Astyanax mexicanus: one gene and its partner. The protein of the gene in region 1 interacts with the protein of each later gene in a pairwise test. Links are inferred from orthologs where the notes say so. Each region holds a gene or a part of one and is shown in the gene's direction. Other genes may lie near its edges. The genes, in order: trim9 and evlb.

Region 1 (9,844 bases):
TGCCATGAAAAACTAAAGCTGTTTGAAGATCAAACAAAGGCTCAATTTTGTATTACTGTAGTCATTCTAATAGTCCTAAACATGCTTTGTGAGTGTACAACACATTGTGGAGGCGTTGGAACTCAGCTTTCTCCAGCTTGTTGCCATGACCACATGCGCTTTGAAAAAGAGCTCATTGAGCAGCATTTTATTAATTAGGAGAAATGTGTGCATTGGCTAATTTCCCAGTAAAGTATGCGCAGTAGGTGCGCTGAAGAGAGCGTCTGTCCATGGCCAGCTTGTGTTTGATCACTCTGCCACATCCATAGGTCAAATGAGATGCAGCAGGTGCAAGGAAGTTGTGGTGGGAGGAGCTTACTGAACTTCTAGTCACATGCTGGAACCGACCCACTTTTCCACCATCAGAATAAAAATCATTAAGCGATTAATTACCCAGTAATCCCTCCACAGACGCAGAGGCACCAGAGAGAAGCACGCGCACCACACTCACATGGCTCTCACCAAGCCCTCACACACTATAACACACACACACACACACACACACATACAGGCACCATCTCTCCACCAACAACACGCACCGTCCACCCACATACACTCACTAAATCGTTTCAACTTACTCATGTCCCAATCACACACATACAAACTCACGTTCCTCACAGACATTTCAATACGCCCCCACACCTGCCTTTTACAGATCTGAATTCACTGATGAAACGCACACACACACACACACACATACACACTCTAGAAGCTTCCTCAGTGAGCTCTGCATGTTTCAAGCTGTTGCTGATGCGAGCCAGAACTCTCTTTCTCCTCTCTAGTCCATAAAGATGTCTGCACTCACATAATTACAGCATTCAGAGGCCAGCGCTCTTACAATTTCTCTGCTGGCAGTTACACTGTCTGTACCACACACACACAAACACACACACTGTCCTCAGAATCACTCCCTATTACAGGAATAGTGCTCTATATAATGTATGTGTCCTTATGTCCTTGATATATTCCAAATATATTCTAAAGTCTGTAAACACTCTGTATAATATATTCACTGGCCAAAAGTCTGTCAATCAGTGTGTCAATTAATCATGAAGTGCTGCCGTAGAGGACAGCTCGAGAAAAGCCCACACCTGGGTAAATAGTGAGGTGTTTTCTTGTATGTGAGCTTGAACACTGGCCAGCAAGCTCATAGCAAAGCAACGTGAATTATCAGTGTTTAAAAAGACCTGACCCGCGCAAACAAACAAGCAACTCTGGCAAAAATCACATCCACATTTAATCCAAGAGACCCACATGACCTACAGGTCAATGCAGCATGACCCACTTTGACCTAGTTTACACGGGATATGACAAATGTCCTGGGACACAATACTAGCTCATGTCCCATGATGAAGTCAGCCACCGCCTGCTGCTAATGTACCATTGCGGAGTAACCAGTGCGCTCGGAGGAAAGTGCAGCGCCTCGGCTCCGAAACATCAGCTCACAGACGCCTTGTGCTGATCGACATCACCCTTTGGAGTGATGAGGGGAAACAGTGCCATCTACCCACCCAGAAAGAGCAAGGCCAATTGTGCTCTCTCAGGGCTCCAGCAGCTGATGGCAAGCTGCATGACCGGGATTTGAACCAGCGATCTTCCAATCATGTCCCATGATATTTGGCATGTCTGGTACCTTTGACAAGTTGTACTGTTTCTATTTATCATAAATTTAGCGTTTACACATTTAAAAGTGTAGAAGCTGTATGTAAATTATGCCTAAAAATCAATGTAAAAAACTAATATATATATATCACTGACATGCCAGAAGTCATGGGATAGCACTATGTAAATTAATCATGAAGTGATCATATAAACTAAGCTTTGATGGTCAAGGTAGTTGAAAAGTAAAAAAGTAAACAGTAAAAAACATGCCCATTTTTCTGTTTGCATGGATAATTCTAGCAAGGCGCCACTGGTCACGATCATTACCAGCCACTGTGCTGTCCCCTGTGGGTGCTAATTATATGATGTACATATTTCTGCTACACATGTGACACTATATGTGTTAAAAAAAAATGTGGCACTTTGCCAACAGCACACAGACATGAGCGTTTCCAAGCCATCCCCCGAGGTAACACTTCATGATCAATTTACATCTGGCTATTCCATGACTTCTGGCATGTCAGTGTATATACTGTATATGTCACAGAATTTGCAAGTTACCTGTGTGTTTGTATGTGTGTGTGTTGTGGCTACCTAATCACACTGCCTCCTACCAAACTCCACCACCCGATGGGTGGACCCTTAAAATGCCAGCATGTCGTTCTGTTTGAGTGAAGGCTATTTCTCTCTTTGCTGCTCTCTCGTTCTGCACTCAGCCAGGTTACCCTGGAAACACGGCTGAAGGCAGGAACAATGGGACAAAGTAAAGCTGCACTCATCAGGATCCAGCGCTCCAGAGAAGAGAAAACACTCTAACTCAGCACTGTTGACATTTCTGGCCCACAGACAACAAACTGAACTCTCATACAGTATCTCACCATTACAGCATTAACACCTACAGATAGTGTGCAGCACTCGTCCTCAGCGCTTACGCCTCACACCTCACATACACATTACGCACACTTAAGCCTGCTATTAACTCACAGTACTCTCCGTAACCCATAATACTGCATGTGCATAGTGCTCTTCAGTAGGAATTTGTCAGACAAAAGTGCCCTGCTTAATAAAGGGGCTACTACAGTATGCTGCTGTACTCTCAGCTCCTTTATTCACCTTTAAAAAAAACTCCTGCCTTAAAGCACATTCTTTTATTTCTTCTCATTCCCTTCATATTCACGTCATACACTGCATTCATAATACCAAAACTAACCACAAAGTTACACTGAAGAGTTCATTTGCAAAAACACATAAAGGTCTATTTAAAGAAGAGCACTTATCTGTTTTTGCAAATTAACTCTTCAGATGTTCCTTGTTTCTTGTCAGCATTCCAGTGCATACACTGGCCTTATATTTAGGTAAATCATTTTATGTCATTTATATATGACAGTTTATGTATGCATTTTTTTTCTTTGCGAATTTGGCTCAGGAAGTGTATTTAATGCACTCAATATTCTGACCGTAATTGGGTTTCTCCAGTTATGTAAGTTATTGTTTATTTTTCATTTGCACAACATGTCAGGACATTCCTGCACTAGAATGTTTATGCTAATTATTATATACATGTAAACAGCACACTTTGATTTTTTTTTTTTAGAATGCATTAAGGCCTAGGCCACTACCTGCTAGTGAGCTACCACATCATGTGGGAGACTGGGGTTCAATTCCCAGTCTGGGTGACTATGCCGCGCTACACCAATAAGAGTCCTTGGGCAAGACTCCTAACACTACATTAGTCCACATCTGTGATAGGAATAATCCTTATTTGGACAATAGAGACACACTCTAACCTTGGATAGGTTACTTTTTATTAAATTATTTGATAAAAAAAAGTTTGTTTACTGGAACTGTACTTAATTCAACTTCACAATTTTGTGTTATATCAATTGCTATGGTCAAGCAAATAAAACAGATGGAAAAAAGCTAGTTGCAAGTCTAATTCAAACTAATTGTAATTGTACAATGAAAAGTTAGGGTAAAGTTATTTAAGATTTAGAATTTTATAGGTGAGTGTACATCAGCATCATCATGAAGATCAACATGTCCAGTTCCACTGTGGATTTATATGTTTGGAATTAAAAGTGTACATAGAGCTTTTTGACATTGTAGGCCTGTAACAAATCAGTACGGTGGCCGAGAAAGCCCAGCGCAGTGCAAATTGAAAAGCGCTGCAAAAGCACAAAACACATTCATCAAAATTACAACACAGGCGCAGCAAATAGAAAAACGCGCTGCAAAAAGAAAAACGCGCTGCAAATAGAAAAACGCGCTGCAAATAGAACCACAACACAACGGAAGTGAGTCACAACACAACAGAATTTTCCCGGGGGACCTTAAAAGATGCTGTACCAGCTGTATACAAAGGACAATAAGTGGCAAACAAGCTTCTGAAAAGTAAGTTATGTTTATTACCTGTGATTACCACGGTTGTGTGCATATTATTAAAAGTTCTGCTTCACAAAACGCCTTGTTTGCCACTTATTGTCCTTTGTACACATAGTGAAGTCCGAGACGTTACTGAAGACGCAGCTTAGCTGGTACAGTATCTTTTAAGGTCCCCCGGGAAAATTCCGTTGTGTTGTGACTCACTTCCGTTGTGTTGTGGTTCTATTTGCAGCGCGTTTTTCTAGTTGCAGCGCGTTTTTCTATTTGCTGCGCCTGTGTTGTAATTTTGATGGATGTGTTTTGTGCTTTTGCAGCGCTTTTCAATTTGCACTGCGTTGGGCTTTCTCGGCCACCGTAAATCAGAGAGTAGAAAACAACTGCCAAACTAATTAGCCACCAGAAACTTCCAGGAACTGAGAAGACCTGCAGAAAAGGGCCCTGCGGATGTGTCACACTAGATGTAAATGCCATTTTAAAATTATAATTGAATCCATGCACCTCACCCAACCATCTGTTATGCAAATTCCTTAATAAGCAATGTCACCAGTAAAGCTTCATGGAGTAGCTGAAATTTAACCTGGGTGCCCTTCACATTTTGCCTCCTCAAGACTCAGCAGAATAAAACTGAGGAACTCTGTAGAGTCAGTAACAGCAGACACACATATTAAACACTCCAAATAAACTGCCAGTCACATTATCTCACTTGTCTTCTTGCAGCTGCAAACCAATTTCTTTCTCCAGTATAAAACACACTTTTCCAGAGTTAGGGGGCATAATGATCCATGCTAATTTTAAAATACTGTTCACAAGCTTTCCTTGTACTTCTAATCTGTGTGTCTTTAGTGTGCTTATCCCTAATGTTTTATATTCACATCAGTACACATCTCCAGCATTCTGGAGATCCTGCTTTTGTGGAGTAAACATTTCTACTGTCCAGGGACGACTTTCCACCAGATATTGCATTAATGAGATCAGGATGCTGAATTGTCACCACTCTCATTCTCATCCTCATCTTCCCAACTCACCTCAGTACTGAAATGAGTGTCATTATTCCAGAGAACACTGTTCCACTGATCAATACTAGTGAGATTTATACATCTTCACTCCATGCCTGACATTAAACAATAGGTTCCTGTTTATCTGCTCCAGAGAGAGCTATTTTATTACCAATACATCTCTATGGAAACTATAGAAATGCTTTGTGTGTGCATTTCATTGTAATCTCAAGTATCTCAAGATTCGTCGATTTTAGTTTTCTATATAATTTTTTTGAACACACAAACTGATGAATGGACCAATAGATTTGATGAATGGACCAATAGAAATAATCCAAAATTACCTTAAATAATCTCTTTGACTTCCATAAAAAGTTAAGAAGGTTTTATCTCTCTCCTGTAAAGTTGCTGTTTTGGAGATACATGTGTTTCATTGGACAGTTACGGTTCCCACATATGTCAGCAATAGATGCACAAATTTCCTTTACTTTTTGTGCTATGTTTATAGTTGAAAGTACCATATATTGATGTCCTGCTGTGCATGTACTCACTGTTTTTTATAGCTTTTAAATACTTACTATTGTTTTGTATTACTGTTCTGTATTGTGTAATTACTGGCTACTGGCTGCTAAATTACCATCTGAATCAATAAAGTATCTATGTATGAATCTATCTATGTATCTGTCCTACTGAAGAAGTGTTAGATAGATAGGAAAGATTTGGGACACAGCATCGGGAGTGCAGGGGCTGCAGAATACCTCCTCACCTAATTCGCTTTATGGTCACGTCTTGAGTCGTCGTGTCTTTTTTTAAGTGCTGTGTGATGTCTCGGTAGGAGTTTAGTTTTTTTGTCTGGACGCCGGCCACAGCTTGCTGCTTGCTGTTTGGCTAAGCCGTTGAATATGGCAGCTGCCTTGACCAATATCTGCTTACTGTGGGCTTTAGTTAGTGATGTAAAGCGCATCCTCCGCGGTCGGTGATTGGTCGAGGCTGTGGTCCCGCCCCTGCAGTATAAATCTCCCCTCCTCCGGGTCTGTGCGCTCATTCCGAGGAGAGGGGGCTGCGCGCGGACGGAGGGGAGATTTACAGCCGGGGTCTGTAGCGCTTGTTTTGTTTTTCTTTACATTCCCGGTTTTTTCCCACCGTTTTGGAGCCACTATGGAGGAGATGGAGGAAGAGCTGAAGTGTCCGGTGTGCGGCTCGTTTTTCCGCGAGCCCATCATCCTGCCCTGCTCGCACAATATCTGCTTGGCGTGCGCGCGGAACATCCTGGTGCAGACGCCGGACGCAGACTCGCCACAGAGCGCGCGCGCCTCCGGCTCCGCCGCGTCCGACTACGACTACCTGGACCTGGACAAGATGAGCCTGTACAGCGAGGCGGACAGCGGCTACGGCTCTTACGGTGGCTTCGCGAGCGCGCCCACCACGCCGTGCCCCAAGTCCCCGAACGGGGTGCGCGTCTTTCCGCCGGCCCCACCGCCCCCCCAGCAGTCCCAGCAGCAGCACCTGCTGCCCCCGCCGACCGCGTCCGGCGCGCCCCCTCCACCTCCCCACCCTCACCCTCATCCCACCGCCATGATGATGATGATGATCCCCCGAAACGCCTGCCTCACCTGCCCGCAGTGCCACCGCAGCCTGACGCTGGACGACCGCGGCCTGCGCGGCTTCCCCAAGAACCGCGTGCTGGAGGCGGTGGTGGAGCGCTACCAGCAGAGCAAGGCGGCGGCGCTGCGCTGCCAGCTGTGCGAGAAGACCCCGCGCGAGGCCACCGTGCTGTGCGAGCAGTGCGACGTCTTCTACTGCGACGCGTGCCGAGTGCGCTGCCACCCGCCCCGCGGCCCGCTCGCCAAGCACCGGCTCGTGCCACCCGCGCAGGGGCGCATCAGCCGCCGCGCGAGCCCGCGCAAGACCTCCACATGCACGGAGCACGAGCTGGAGAACCTCAGCATGTACTGTGTGCAGTGCAAGATGCCCGTGTGCTACCAGTGCCTGGAGGAGGGGAGGCACTCCGCGCACGAGGTCAAAGCGCTCGGGGCGATGTGGAAACTGCACAAGGTGAGGAGGGGAAGGAAAAGCTGTGTGCACTTGTGCGTGTGCGCAGAATAATGAGGAACACCTCCAATTAGGTCTACTATAAGCATATCTACAGGTTGTAATCTGTATGTTATCCTGGAAAATGTATTTTGTTCCAAAGATAACCAATGTTCGACCTTTTATGGGTAGCCAGACAGTTTTATTCATGAGTTCCATGTTGGAACCATATGTGGATATGAGTGATGGGACCAGAAACAGGGGTTCCATTTGTGTTGTACACTTCGTATGATGTCTAGTAGGATGTTAATAAAATTAATGTTCTAATGTAAATTTCAAAATGGGATAATCAAGATTGCATAATTTACATATAAGATAATATATTAGACTTTGTTGTCCCCAATGGGGACATTATCCTTGAAAAAAAAAATACACACAACACTCTATACAACATCACATATTTACATATCAGAAATATTGCATAAACCCTTGACCTTGCTACTATTTGCATATTTTACACATTCCCTCTGACCCAACACAGACTGTGCTACACAACCCTAGACCTTACTTATATTGCACATTTTATCAAACAAAACCATGAGCGGTATTGCACATTACCTATGCTTTTTACTTAAGAGCTTTATAGAAACTGGCACAAATGAATTCCTATATCTATTGAGCTGGCATCTTGGCATCCTGTACCTTCTGCCTGAGGGGAGGAGTTGGTATTCATGGTGAAGCACATGAGATGGATCAGCCACTATTTTCTAAACTGTCAGTGTGAATCTCAGTAGATAGATGTGCTTCTGTCAGAAATCTATAAAAACTCTTTTATTTGGCAGTGGTTTTCTTTACATGTTTAATTAACTGAAATTAACATGTAATAAACCATGTTTATTACAAAAGCTGCAGGCAGGTTTAAAGGGGGCTGTTTACAGATCACTTTTTTTCAAATAAAAAATAGAAGTTGTTATGTAACAACTAAAATCGTTGTTGGGAATAACTTGATGAATATCAAGATTTTTACAATATGGCCCAGCCTCACCTTCAAGATTTAAGTTGGTTGTTATGGTCCTTATTTGCAAAGCTCTACTGGGTAACAGCACATTCAGTGCTCATGCCCACTCGGAGCCTACCTAGACCACACTGCACCCATGCGAGTCCAACATTAGCGTGTTCCAGTATAGTCAGTCTGTGTCATTAGATAGTAAGAGTTAGAGTTAAGAGTGATTCACCAGCTTCAAATATGTAGCTAATAGTTGGTTTGCAGTCAGGAACTGTCTCAGGGGTCAATTAGAAAATCTGTCACCCTGCAGGTAGGTTAAGGATTGGTGATATCTTCTGATCAAGATAATAAAGATCTTCAGTAGCATCTGAATATTGGAGCCAAGCAGATAGATTTAAACACTCCATGCTGATAGATGTCCACTCCTGGGATAGAAGGAGGTCACTAACATTAATTTATCACAGCAGTAGATCTTTGGTTCTAACTTTTTCTAACTTGTACTCACTCCAGCTATGCCGAGCTGCAATGTTGCAATAAATTGAAAAATCCATGCCAAATCTGGTAGCCATATTGCTTCTGGCTGAGGAAACTTTTCGAATGCATTCTGTAAAGAACCATCTATGACTCAGCAGTGCACTAAAGCCATGTGGGAATGATTGGATTGAATTTAAATTAAATAGAAGTGTTGTTAGGAGTGTAACAGTGCAGACTGGAGGTGTCCTCAGATTGAAGAGAACCTCACTAAAGGCAAAATATTCTTGATTTTCTCCTTTTGGTTTTATCCTAGTGGTTTCCGGTTTTGGTCTTGGAGTATACCCTATCTGAAAGTTCATATTCAAAAAGTTTTAAAAGAGAATCAATATTTGGTGGATTAACCCTGGTTTTTAATCACAGTTTTCATGCATCTTGGCATGTTCCCCTCCAGCAGTCATGCACACTGCTTTCGTAAAACTTCATGCAACTCCTGGTGCAAAAATTCAATCAGTTCAGCTTGGTTTGATGGCTTGTGATCATCCATCTTCCTTTTGATTGTATTCCAGAGGTTTTTAAATTGGTAAAATCAAAGAAACTCATATATACCCTCATATGTACCCTATCTGCAAGTTTGGTCTGTAAGGCTATGTTCAGACTGTAGGCAAATCAAATCAGAAATGCTGAGATGACTGTCTGCACTATTTATGTGTAATTGATGAGATCAGATATGCCTGTCTGGATATAACATATCTGCATGGGTTGCTGTTGTAATGATGTTGGCATCAGTAAATAATCTTTGGCATTCTTCTTGGACCCGCACACTTACGTTACTCTGGATTTGATAAGGCTGTTGTTTATTGTGTTGTGAATGACCCGAAAAATAAATGTTAAAATGCAATCTGAGCATATAGAGCATCCACACCGAGTTACATCTGTACAAGTCTGATTGTAATTGCACAAACCCAAAAGTAATTGCGCAATCTAGATTTGCAGATTTGTAAGTAGATTTGGGCTGGCAGTCTGAACATAGCCTAACACCAACTTCTACTAACCAGCTAATCTCCAATAAATATGCCACTGTTAATACATTTGTTGTGCAGAAGCATTGTAAAAGTAGTGAAAACACAAAAATCTGCAGAGCAGGGGTACTTAAGCAAGAGCACTGAGAAGCACTAGCCATGTTTATCAGAGACTGGGCTATAGAAGGTAATTTGTCCCTGTCAGGTTCTGAAATAGGGGTTTCACTCACTGAGCAGAATTCCTCTACCCCATCAAGAACCCTGTCAAGACAACAGCTATGAGTCTGTGATTGTTG
Region 2 (10,116 bases), on another chromosome or scaffold:
CCAAAATTCTGAACCATTTAGAGCAGTGGTTTTCAACCTGTGGGACTTACATCCACACCCCAAATGCCAAATGTGACAGATATTTAGTTTAATTATTTGCTAAGCAAAACATGTTTAGGTCATTTTATGTCATGGTTTAGCGTAGTACAGTCACATGACAGGCATAGACAGCTAGTAGGTTAACAAGCCTAACAAGGGTCTTTGACATCTACAAGTGAAGCAGCCACTGTTTCTCTGACTGAAAGAACAAAAAAAGCAGTTGAAAATACAGCAGTTATTTCCAAAAATGTAAAAAAAAACAGTTGATGTTTGTGATGTTTTTGGTTTTTAAAGGTAAATAAAATATTCTGGTGGGCTGTGGAAAGTATTGTGGAGGGTTAAGTTGGCTGTGACTTGCAAATAGTTGGTAATGCCTGATCTAGAAAAGTGTTTATTACACTGCAGACGAACCAGACAATGGTTTAGTAGATGTGGACAAAGATCACCTTTTTTGGCCAAACTGAAAACGAAACAACTGCTATTGCATTTGGGAAATTAATTGTATAGGTGTGAAAAAAAGCTTTAGAGCTAAATTCAGAACCTTTTTAACTTGTATAGCAGAGCAAAAGTCCATCAGATAACTGTCTGACTGCACTGCTGTAGTCACTCCTTACAGTCTGACCTTGGGGAGGCGGCGCTGAACCTGAACAGATATCAGATTCAGAGACAGCTGTCAGCCTCCATCTCTCTCTCTATCTCTTGCTCCCTCTCTCTCTTTCATTCATCTCTCTTGCTGGTTCATCTTCCTTCCTTTTTTATCCATTTTTCTATGCATTCTTGTGTCTTTAGGCTGTTCTTTCTCATTTTTCTCTCCTTTGCGTCATTCGTCTTTTCACACTCTCCCTCCTCCAGTAAAACTGAATTAGGTTTGATGGCTCTGCTTCTGCTTCATTCATATGCTTATTTAATTACTCATCTCTGCCTCAATCTGTTCATCTGTGTTTCTCCCCCCTTTAATTTCACTCTCAGTAGTGCTGCTCTGTATCCAGTGTGATCGGGTGCGAGTCTAACAGAAGGCTGAGCTCCTCTGTATTGCGCTAATGGCTGTACAGTTACAGTAGACACTCTTGGCTGAGCTCAAATGGAGGTGTTCCCCTTTAAGGATTAGAATGCAATCTGCAGTCAGGCAGGAACCTGCTGGAGAGAGAGAGAGAGAGAGAGTGGTGGGGATGGTGCTGGGGGGAGGGGCTGCATGTACCTTTGTCTAAACAGCCTCTACAATATTTCCATATCTATACATCTACCTACCTGTTTGTGTTGATGGCTGACTGTATATAATGTATGATTAGTGTTATGATTAGGGTTTTCGGAACCTAGCTGAACACTCCACTTCCTGGTTCTCAGGGATTTGTATGTTCTCTTCCTGTCCACTCTTAACAAACAGAAAATCACACGTATAAATAATGATACATTAAATAATAATACAGTAAAGAAATTGGAAGCATTAATCGCTATTTCTAATAGTCTGTTATTGCTGAAAAGGTACACAAGTAGTGATTCATTCATTTTTTAGATTCAGTAACAGGTCTTTAGCATGTCTGAAGCTAGTCTTTTCTTTTAATGCTGATGTCACTTCGCTTTCAACAAGCAGTTTTTGCTTGTAACAAGCAGTTGCCAGTCAGTAAATGTATTATTTTAATTCTAACAAATCTTTCAGCTCTTCATTTGATTTCTTATAAAAATCAATTAATTTTTATTTTGTGAAAAATGCTAGTTTGTCCCATTAAAGCTATAATATCGTTTACATGACTTTGCTAATATAAAAATATACTTAATAGCTCAAGTGCATTCCTTTTCCTTGCAGTTAACTGTTGCTTAATGGTAACTATGGTATTCCTGGTGGTTTTCATGGTGTTGCTAGCTGGTTGGAAGGCGATTAATGTGGTATTCCAGATGGTTGCTGTGGTGTTTCTAAGATGTTGCTTTGGTGTAGCTAATTAAATGCTATAGTATCTTTGGTGGTGTTTCTAAGAGGTTGCTATGATGTAGCTAAATTAAGGCTATGGTATACCAGGTGGTTGCTGTCGTGTTCTTAAGATGCTGCTATGGTGTAGCTAAATTAAGGCTATGGTATACCAGGTGGTTGCTGTGGTGTTTCTAAGAGGTTGCTATGGTGTGGATAACTAAATGCTATGGCGTCCAAGGTGGTGGCACTGGTATTACTAAGAGGTTGTTATGGTGTAGCCACCTGAATGCTTCAGTATCGCAGGTGGTTGCAGTGGTGTTTTTAAGTGGTAGGTGATACCTGGTGTATCAGGTGGTTGCTATAGTATTTCTAACACAAGATGGGTTCTTTAGTTAGGTATGATTATTGCTGTAGGATTTCAGCTGCTAGGATGTTGACTTTGTGGTTGCTAGGTGGTTACAAGGCGGTTGCTATGGTTTCCCAAGTTGTTCTCACAGGTAATGTGCTGTGAGTTTCTGTATTGATTTTTAGGTAATAAAAGTGCATTTGTATCACTGTAACTTTTTCACCCTGTATGCATCACACAATTAGAATGAAAATCTGGAGTTGAAATCTCAAAACCGGCCAAGTTATGCCACAAACATCTCAGATAAAAATTATCAAAATGGAAAACAGATGAATAACTATATATTTTTGCAGTGCTTTGCAATGTGCAACCATAAAAATGTATAGAAGAATCAGTATGTTTTAGATCATAAGCCAAGTTAAGTCATAATCTGTAACTTGTGTTACTTCTATGATAACTTGGGTCTAGAATATAGCTGTTTTAGAATGTAAGCGTACATTAATTACTGTTAAAGTATGATACGTGTGAGCATATTAGATTCCTTTTCCAGCAATAAGTATCATTACTAAATGCATGTGTTGACCTGGTAATAACATCAGAGAGACGCGATTAAATGGACTGGAGATCAGAATGTATGCCTTTGTTCCTGGATCTAATTTAATTTATGTAATTTAATCAGTGTGTAGGCTTTCTGAGTTAATGAACTACATATAGGCTACAGGTCTGCTAGAGGCCTATTGATTGTTATGGATTTAATAGGAGGTTCACTGGCAGCTGCTGCTCTTATTGAGAAAGACATTTTTCATTTTATCCGCACATTATGGATGAAATACCTTACTGCTTTTTACGAAGTACACATAGACTTAGAGATATTATGTTTCTATTGTTATTTTTTTATTGCAGTAGTATTTTCTGGATATTAACAAAATATTTTCAATGTTTTCTTTCATGTTGACAAGAATAAATCAAAAATATCCTGAAATACTGTGACATTTCTAGAGCCATATTGCCCACTGCTATAGCACATGTAGTATACCTCATACAGAGTACTGCTTAAAATATGAAGGTCATCTTTTAAAATTTGATAAAACGTTAGATAATCATGATATAACATTTTAATATCAGCTTATACTCACCTCACAGTATTTTCTGTAACATTTTTGTAATATATGATTTTTATTTTTAGATTCCTAAATTTGATTCTAGGATGTAAACTGATAAATAACTGATGATGTAATACTTAAAAAGACTACAGAAAAGACTGCAGATCAGTCACAACATTTGTTTTTGCTTAAGTCTTGCAGATACCTTTTGGGACTGAATCAGAGAAAAAACGATTTGGTATGATTGTATAAAATTACATAAAGCTTTGTGATAGGATTACACAATCTAGTGCAACACATCAGAAAATAATACAAACAGAACCTTCTGAATAAGCAGAAGACAGGACATGGCCTCTACTCTGTGCTGTACACTGCAATCACAGGAAAGCACTACCTATGCTCTTACACTTCACAAATGCATCATAGGTAATGACCATATTAAACAACATAAAGCTGTGCAGACTAGACTGTATCAGCAGCAGCTCTGTAAATTGTTTCTGAGGTCAGTAAGTGTGACAGACCGTACTGGACTTTCTGTCATTATTTACTGCATGGACACTTTGGCATTAATAGTTTCTTCTGAAATCAAGGTTATTAAAAAACAAGTTTATCCTGCTTTTGTTGGAGTAACTGTCAGTATTGTCCAGAGAATACTTTTTGCTAGATTGTAAATCATTACTGTAAGAACCTGATTGCCATTCCAGACAGCACAGTTCAACTTCTTCATAGCTCAATGCTATGAATTATATCCCTCTAGCCGACGCCTGGCAGCAGGCATGTTGCCTAAAGGTTCATGTTCCTCAGGACTCTCTTCTTCAGAGAGTCCTATTCTATTCTATTCTATTCTATTCTATTCTACACTGCCTGGCTGAAAAAAAAGGTCACAAACTCTAATATTTCATTGGAGCGTCTTTAGGTCTGATAGAGGGACGCATTCACTGTGGCATTGTTTCGATAAGCTTCTGCAATGTAACAAGATGTATGGTAGAGTCTGACCGCTGCACAAAGCCTTCACCAGCACATCCCAAAGATTTTCAATGGGGTTAAAGTTTGGAGTCTGTGGTGAACAATTCGTGTGTGAAAATGATGATCTCATGCTCCCTGAATCATTTTTTTTCACAATTCCAGACCCATGAATCCTGACATTGTCCTCTTGGAATATGCCCGTGTCATCAGGGAAGAAAAAATCCATTGATGGAATAACCTGGTCTATATTCAGTATATTCAGGTAGTCAGCTGACCTCATTCTTTCAGCACATATTGTTGCTAAAACCCAGACCTGACCAACTGCAGCATCAACCCCACATCATTTACTTACTTCAATCCAAGCAGAATAAAAAATTCTGGTGTGAAAACACCCTTAAATCAGCTGAATGCATTCATTAGAAGGTGTGTCCACAAACATTTGTACATATAGAAGCAGATTCCCAGATATAATTTTAGCCTAGTCTTGGGCTACACAGCAACGGAAAGCCTAACACTAGTCTTAATCCCTGGCTGGGAAACTGACATATAGTGTATGTGTACATGTACTACACTACATGTTCGAAATATAATCGGAATTCATAATAATAGGAATTCATGTGAGATCAAAATGTTCAAACATGTTAAGTGACAACTGGGGTTTAAATGGCCCAGTCAGAATGAAAGACAGATTGTATGGAACGTTATAGTATCCCCATCACTGGGAGGGTGATGGAAGATCCTCCTGTCGCTTTAATTCTTCACTTGATCTTGATCTTGATCAAAAAGCCACAAATGCCCTTTATTAATTAACAGTCACAACCACACCCCTCCCCACTGTCCACACTGGTTTAACATTAGAGCTGACTACTCCCTAACACAGAGAGCGAGGAGGAATGGAGTGAGGAAGGGAGAGGGAGAACTGAGGAATGAATAGATGGAGGGAGAGAAGAAGAGAGAGAGAGAGAGGGAAAGAGGAGGAGCCAGCAGCATTGGCATTGAGGGGGAGGGGGGCTCCTGGCCTATGGGGCTAGCCGACCATCTCTCATGTCACAGCTGGAAGGGGAGGAGGAGGAGGAGAGAAGGATAGAGGAAGGGAGGGATGGAGAGATGTAGGGTTGGGGGAGGGAGCTGGTAATCCACTAGATGAAACGAGAAAGAGAGAGAGTCAGTGCGAGGGTGATGCCTCATAGCGAGCATCATAATTTCATTCAACCGAGAAGAGCACTCTATCTCTCTCTCTCTCTCTCTCTCTTTCTCTCTCTCATTCTCTCTCTCTTTCCACTACTCACTCATTAATGTGCTCCTCCAGTGCGGCGCTCTTCGTCTGCTCTGATTGACTGAGGATGAGATTACAGCTCTTTTTCTTTTTAAAGCTTATCACAGTTAATTTGATTTTCATTTTTTCCTCTTTTTGACTATTGACTCTGCCGAGCTCTTCAAGGATTGGGGTTTTAGAAAGAAGCTAGGAGTGTGTGAAAGAGTGCTGTGTGTGATGGACGTTGGCCTTTCTGCAACTCCTTTCTGCTTTGGACAAGGTGGCTGAGATGCTTCTGCTGTTTCAGTTACTGAACCATTAACGTTAAGATCTACTACAAGGGTAGTGAGAACGGAAGAGGGGGAGGGGATCCTGACACCCACCGAGCAAACGAGCGAGTGAACGAGACGGCCGGTCAGAAGGTAGAGGAGAAAGAGGAAAGAGCAACCTGTTCCTCTCTGCTATGACCTGAAGCGATGGATATTAACCTCCAGTCACACCGCTTCTACTTCCCCCAGATCTACTGTGATGCTGGCGCTCAGGTCACCGAGTATAAGATCAGGTAGGTTTCAGTGGCAGCTGCCCGCTGTCCTCTGTGGCTGCTCGGAGGTGTGGAGCGGAATTCTAATTGAGCGGCTTTTATGAGAATGAGGAGGTTTGGAGGATGCTTGATTTACAGTCTCTGCTGGAGCTTGCCAGGCTGCGGCTAGCGCCGACACAGATGCTCTTAATGCAATTGAAGTGTAAGACTGTGGCTCTTTTGTTTTCCCTGTGTCTCGCTCTGTCTTTCTCGCCTTCTGCAGGCTGTTGGTGAAGGTGATTCCTCCGAGGCCTCGTGAAGCTGCATCAGCAGTACAGTTAGAGCAGAATACTCTTGAGTTCTAGCTGTATAACTTCAAAGGTCTGCATTCTCAGTCTACATTCAATAGTGTAGGATGGTGCTGCTGACCTTCTGAGCTTGAATCAGCACTTTCTAACACAGGTTTCTAAAGAAAGAGCATCTTTGAGATGCAGGGGAGCATCACTTTTATTGGTTGCTCAGGTACCGTTCAAAAGAACTGATGCACATGACACAGTGTACAACAAACCTGTAGGGAGCACCGCTGGGGCTGTTTGTACATGGGATAGCAGTATGTAAATTGATCGTTACCTGTTACCTGAGGGGGTAACTTGGGAAAAGACACATTTGTATAAATTTAAAATTCTTATTTTGAGATTGAGGTTGAACACATGGACTGTTTGAGTTTTGTTAGCTGGTTGGGACATTCCATTTCTTTGCACTGGCATTTAATATTCCTAAATCCACAGGGTCACATGCAGACTGGAAATACATCATAGATGGCATTACCATCCACAGTGCACAGTGCAGTAGATGGTAATAACTGTGGCCAATCTGCAGCATTTGATTAGAATTGTCTGTGTAAACAGTTAACCAACTGGAAATAATCACATCCCTATTCAGTGCAGATGGCCCACTCACTCACTTCCACTAGACATGGCAATGGCAAAAAATAATGGGACACAATACTAAGTCCTGTCTCATGACTTTTGGCAAACATACAGCTCTGGAAAAAAATAAGAGACCACTTAGAAATTATGAGTTTCTTTGATTTAACCAAATTAAAAACATCTGGAATATAATCAAGAGGAAGATGGATTATCACAAGCCATCCTACCAAGCTGAACTGCTTGAATTTTTGCACCAGGAGTGGCATAAAGTTATCTAAAAGCAGCGTGTAAGACTGGTGGAGGAGATGCATTAAAAACTGTCATTAAAAAACAGGGTTATTCCACCAATATTGATTTCTGAACTTTTAAAACTTTTATGAATATGAATTATTTGAGGTCTGAAAGCTCTGCATCTTTTTTATCCGCCATTTCTCATTTTCTGCAAATAAATTCTCTAAATGACAATATTCTTATTTGGAATTTGGGATTTTTCCTTCTTTTCCCCAATTTTTAGATTTTTTTTTTGTCACAACACTGTTACTAATCACAGTAATAAAATATGGTGAGTTTTACTACATTTCCAGAACCTGCTCTCTTCAGTTCTGAGTTAAACAGTTTGTTTTTCGACTGGGATCAGGGCCTAGCGTTCTCAGTAACCCTGTGCTTTCATCGCCAACCTGACTTTATCTGTCCATTTCTCCACTCATCCATCGTTTCAGATTTCATCTCGCCCTCTAATCTCTTGCCTCTCGGCAGGACCCATCCATTTTTTCTCCCAATCGCACGATTAGAGCCGATTTAAAGACCCGGGCCGGGTATTTTTGGTCCTAATCAGATTTTATTTCTGCGATGGCTCAATCCTTCCTGCTGGACTGTAGAAGAAGAAAAAAAACTCAAGCCTCACCACTGGATTTTGAGTTTGGCACGGTCGCCTGCATGCTCCTCCAGAATGTGTTTGACTCACATTCAGAGTGTGTTTTCTCTGGTTTGGGAGATAATCGCTGTGTGTGTTTGACTTGGACGTAGAGCTGGTGGTTGTTCCTGCAGAGCAAGGATTGTATTACCGGCTATAAATCCATACCCTGTCCTGCAGGAATCAGGGCCAGAGAAGAGATTTTATTTGCTATCCATAGGGATTTGTCACATATTGTTTTAGTAAAGAGATGTTTCACCAACTCCAACCTCACAGAGACCTGTAGAATAAGAAGCAGGGTGGAAAATTACTGACTGAAAAACAAGTCACTATTAATGACCCATGAAGAAAAGCAGTGTGTCTGCTTTGGATGGAGGTTGTCAGATAGTTTGTCCTGTCACTTTTATAGGAATATCAATTCTTCTTTCTGTTTGCACTATAATGAGTGAACATCAGCCAGACCACAGTGTAGGGGCTTTTAGCAGTGGAGCTGGGTCACACATATTTACTGTGGTGTGGCTGTTGGGTTTTGTGGTGTGGATTTTCTGGCTGTTTACAGTTCACTGCTCTAGGGCTAAGTGTGCTGGTGCTATTAATGCTGGTGGTAATGCTGGTCAGCTGGATTGAGTGGAACAGTGAGTTCATGGCATCAGATCCAGGCTACAGACAGACACTGTGGCCTACTGTACAATCAATAATGAGGTTATTGGTACAGAAAATGGGGTTGGACATAAGAGACAATAAGAGATGGACAGAACAAATGCACTGTATGAGTTGAATGATCACCTGGATGAGTTGAATTTTACTAAAAATAATTTAAGGAACCTGAGTTAATTAAACTTAAAACCTGATGAATTGGATGGAATTTAGACTGAACAGTTTTTTATTTGCTTTATTACTAGGGGTGTAATGGTACAAACCGTCATGGTATTTGGGTCACGGTTCGGTTTGTGCAAACGCATGCAGAATACATGGTGCAGGTAGTCTATAGGAGACTTGTGGAACCAATGAACGTAATGCGTGACTAATGTTCACACAAGTGTTGCCCGCAGAAAGTGTAGCTGTAGCACTGTTGCTATTAGCAACTCGCCACTGACTTAGCCTAAACAAAATGCATAGCTCTATTGTAATACAGGAAATGTTGTTGAGTGAACAATATAGCACACAGCCAATACAGAGTTATTAGCTCAGAAAATTATACGTTTGCTTTTATCAAGGCTAAGCTCATCATAATATATGACCTACAAGTTTTCTTAAGGTAGCCTGGGGAGAATGACTACACACTGACGGTAAGTGCCAGTGACTCAAAGAAAAACAGTATGCAAATAGATCGAAAAAAAGTTGTCAAGGGCTATAGGCTAAACTCAGTTATTATAAGCTGATTTAACTCAAAAGATCCCATTTGAATCCCATATAAAACAACCACTCAATTAGTGGAGTAGATATAAAACTTCATTTTATTGTTTTAAATCGATCATTTTAGTTACGCAAAGTGTTTTAAAGTAATATACTGACCCTGAGAGGTGAGCTACCCCGAAACTGTGTGGTGAGGACCTGTGATTACAGCTGCCTTTGGACTGCACAGACTCAACTTGTAGACTCAACTAATATGGTGGATTCCACTCTGCTGTCTCATGTGTCCTTCGGATATCTTCTGCGTTAAAGCCAGTGTCTTCTTTCATTAAAACAACTGAGCATTCCATGTACTATGGCCTTATCTACAGGCATTAAGCATGTGTTTGCCTGTTTGTACATCATTTGTTGCTCTTGTGGGCCTACTGGACGCAGCATGGTGAAGGACTGCTCATTATCTAACTCTCAAAGCCTCACACACTCTGTGACTAGGGACTTCTGCATCCCTCATCAAGAAATTCATCTTTCACATCAGCATAACCTTTATGACCTACAAATACAAAGAAGCACATTGCTGTGTCTACAATCTGTGAAAGCCCTAAACGATATCTTTATTATGGGAAAAACCTGTCCAAATTCTTCTGCCAGAGACACTGAATACAAGGTCAATACATGTACTGGGAAACTGAAAAGTGTTATTTTGCTATTGCTGTTGATATCTGGAAATGTGCAGCCTAACCCGGGTCCAATTCAAAATCTACCCACACCAGCAGATTTCAAAAGTAG

Evidence for each region.
Region 2: the proteins of trim9 (region 1) and evlb interact in binary tests that used the Homo sapiens proteins (3 or more experiments, as listed by UniProt). The two-hybrid records come from large-scale screens. The link is inferred for Astyanax mexicanus from reciprocal best matches to the Homo sapiens genes TRIM9 and EVL.

The regions. Positions count from the first base shown.
Region 1 is NC_064414.1:38,991,204-39,001,047, forward strand, and holds the start of trim9 (E3 ubiquitin-protein ligase TRIM9), read left to right. Parts: upstream 1-6,048; 5' UTR 6,049-6,176; coding exon 6,177-7,073; intron 7,074-9,844. UniProt on the Homo sapiens protein: E3 ubiquitin-protein ligase which ubiquitinates itself in cooperation with an E2 enzyme UBE2D2/UBC4 and serves as a targeting signal for proteasomal degradation.
Region 2 is NC_064408.1:73,272,183-73,282,298, forward strand, and holds the start of evlb (enah/Vasp-like b), read left to right. Parts: upstream 1-5,534; 5' UTR 5,535-6,091; coding exon 6,092-6,177; intron 6,178-10,116. UniProt on the Homo sapiens protein: Ena/VASP proteins are actin-associated proteins involved in a range of processes dependent on cytoskeleton remodeling and cell polarity such as axon guidance and lamellipodial and filopodial dynamics in migrating cells.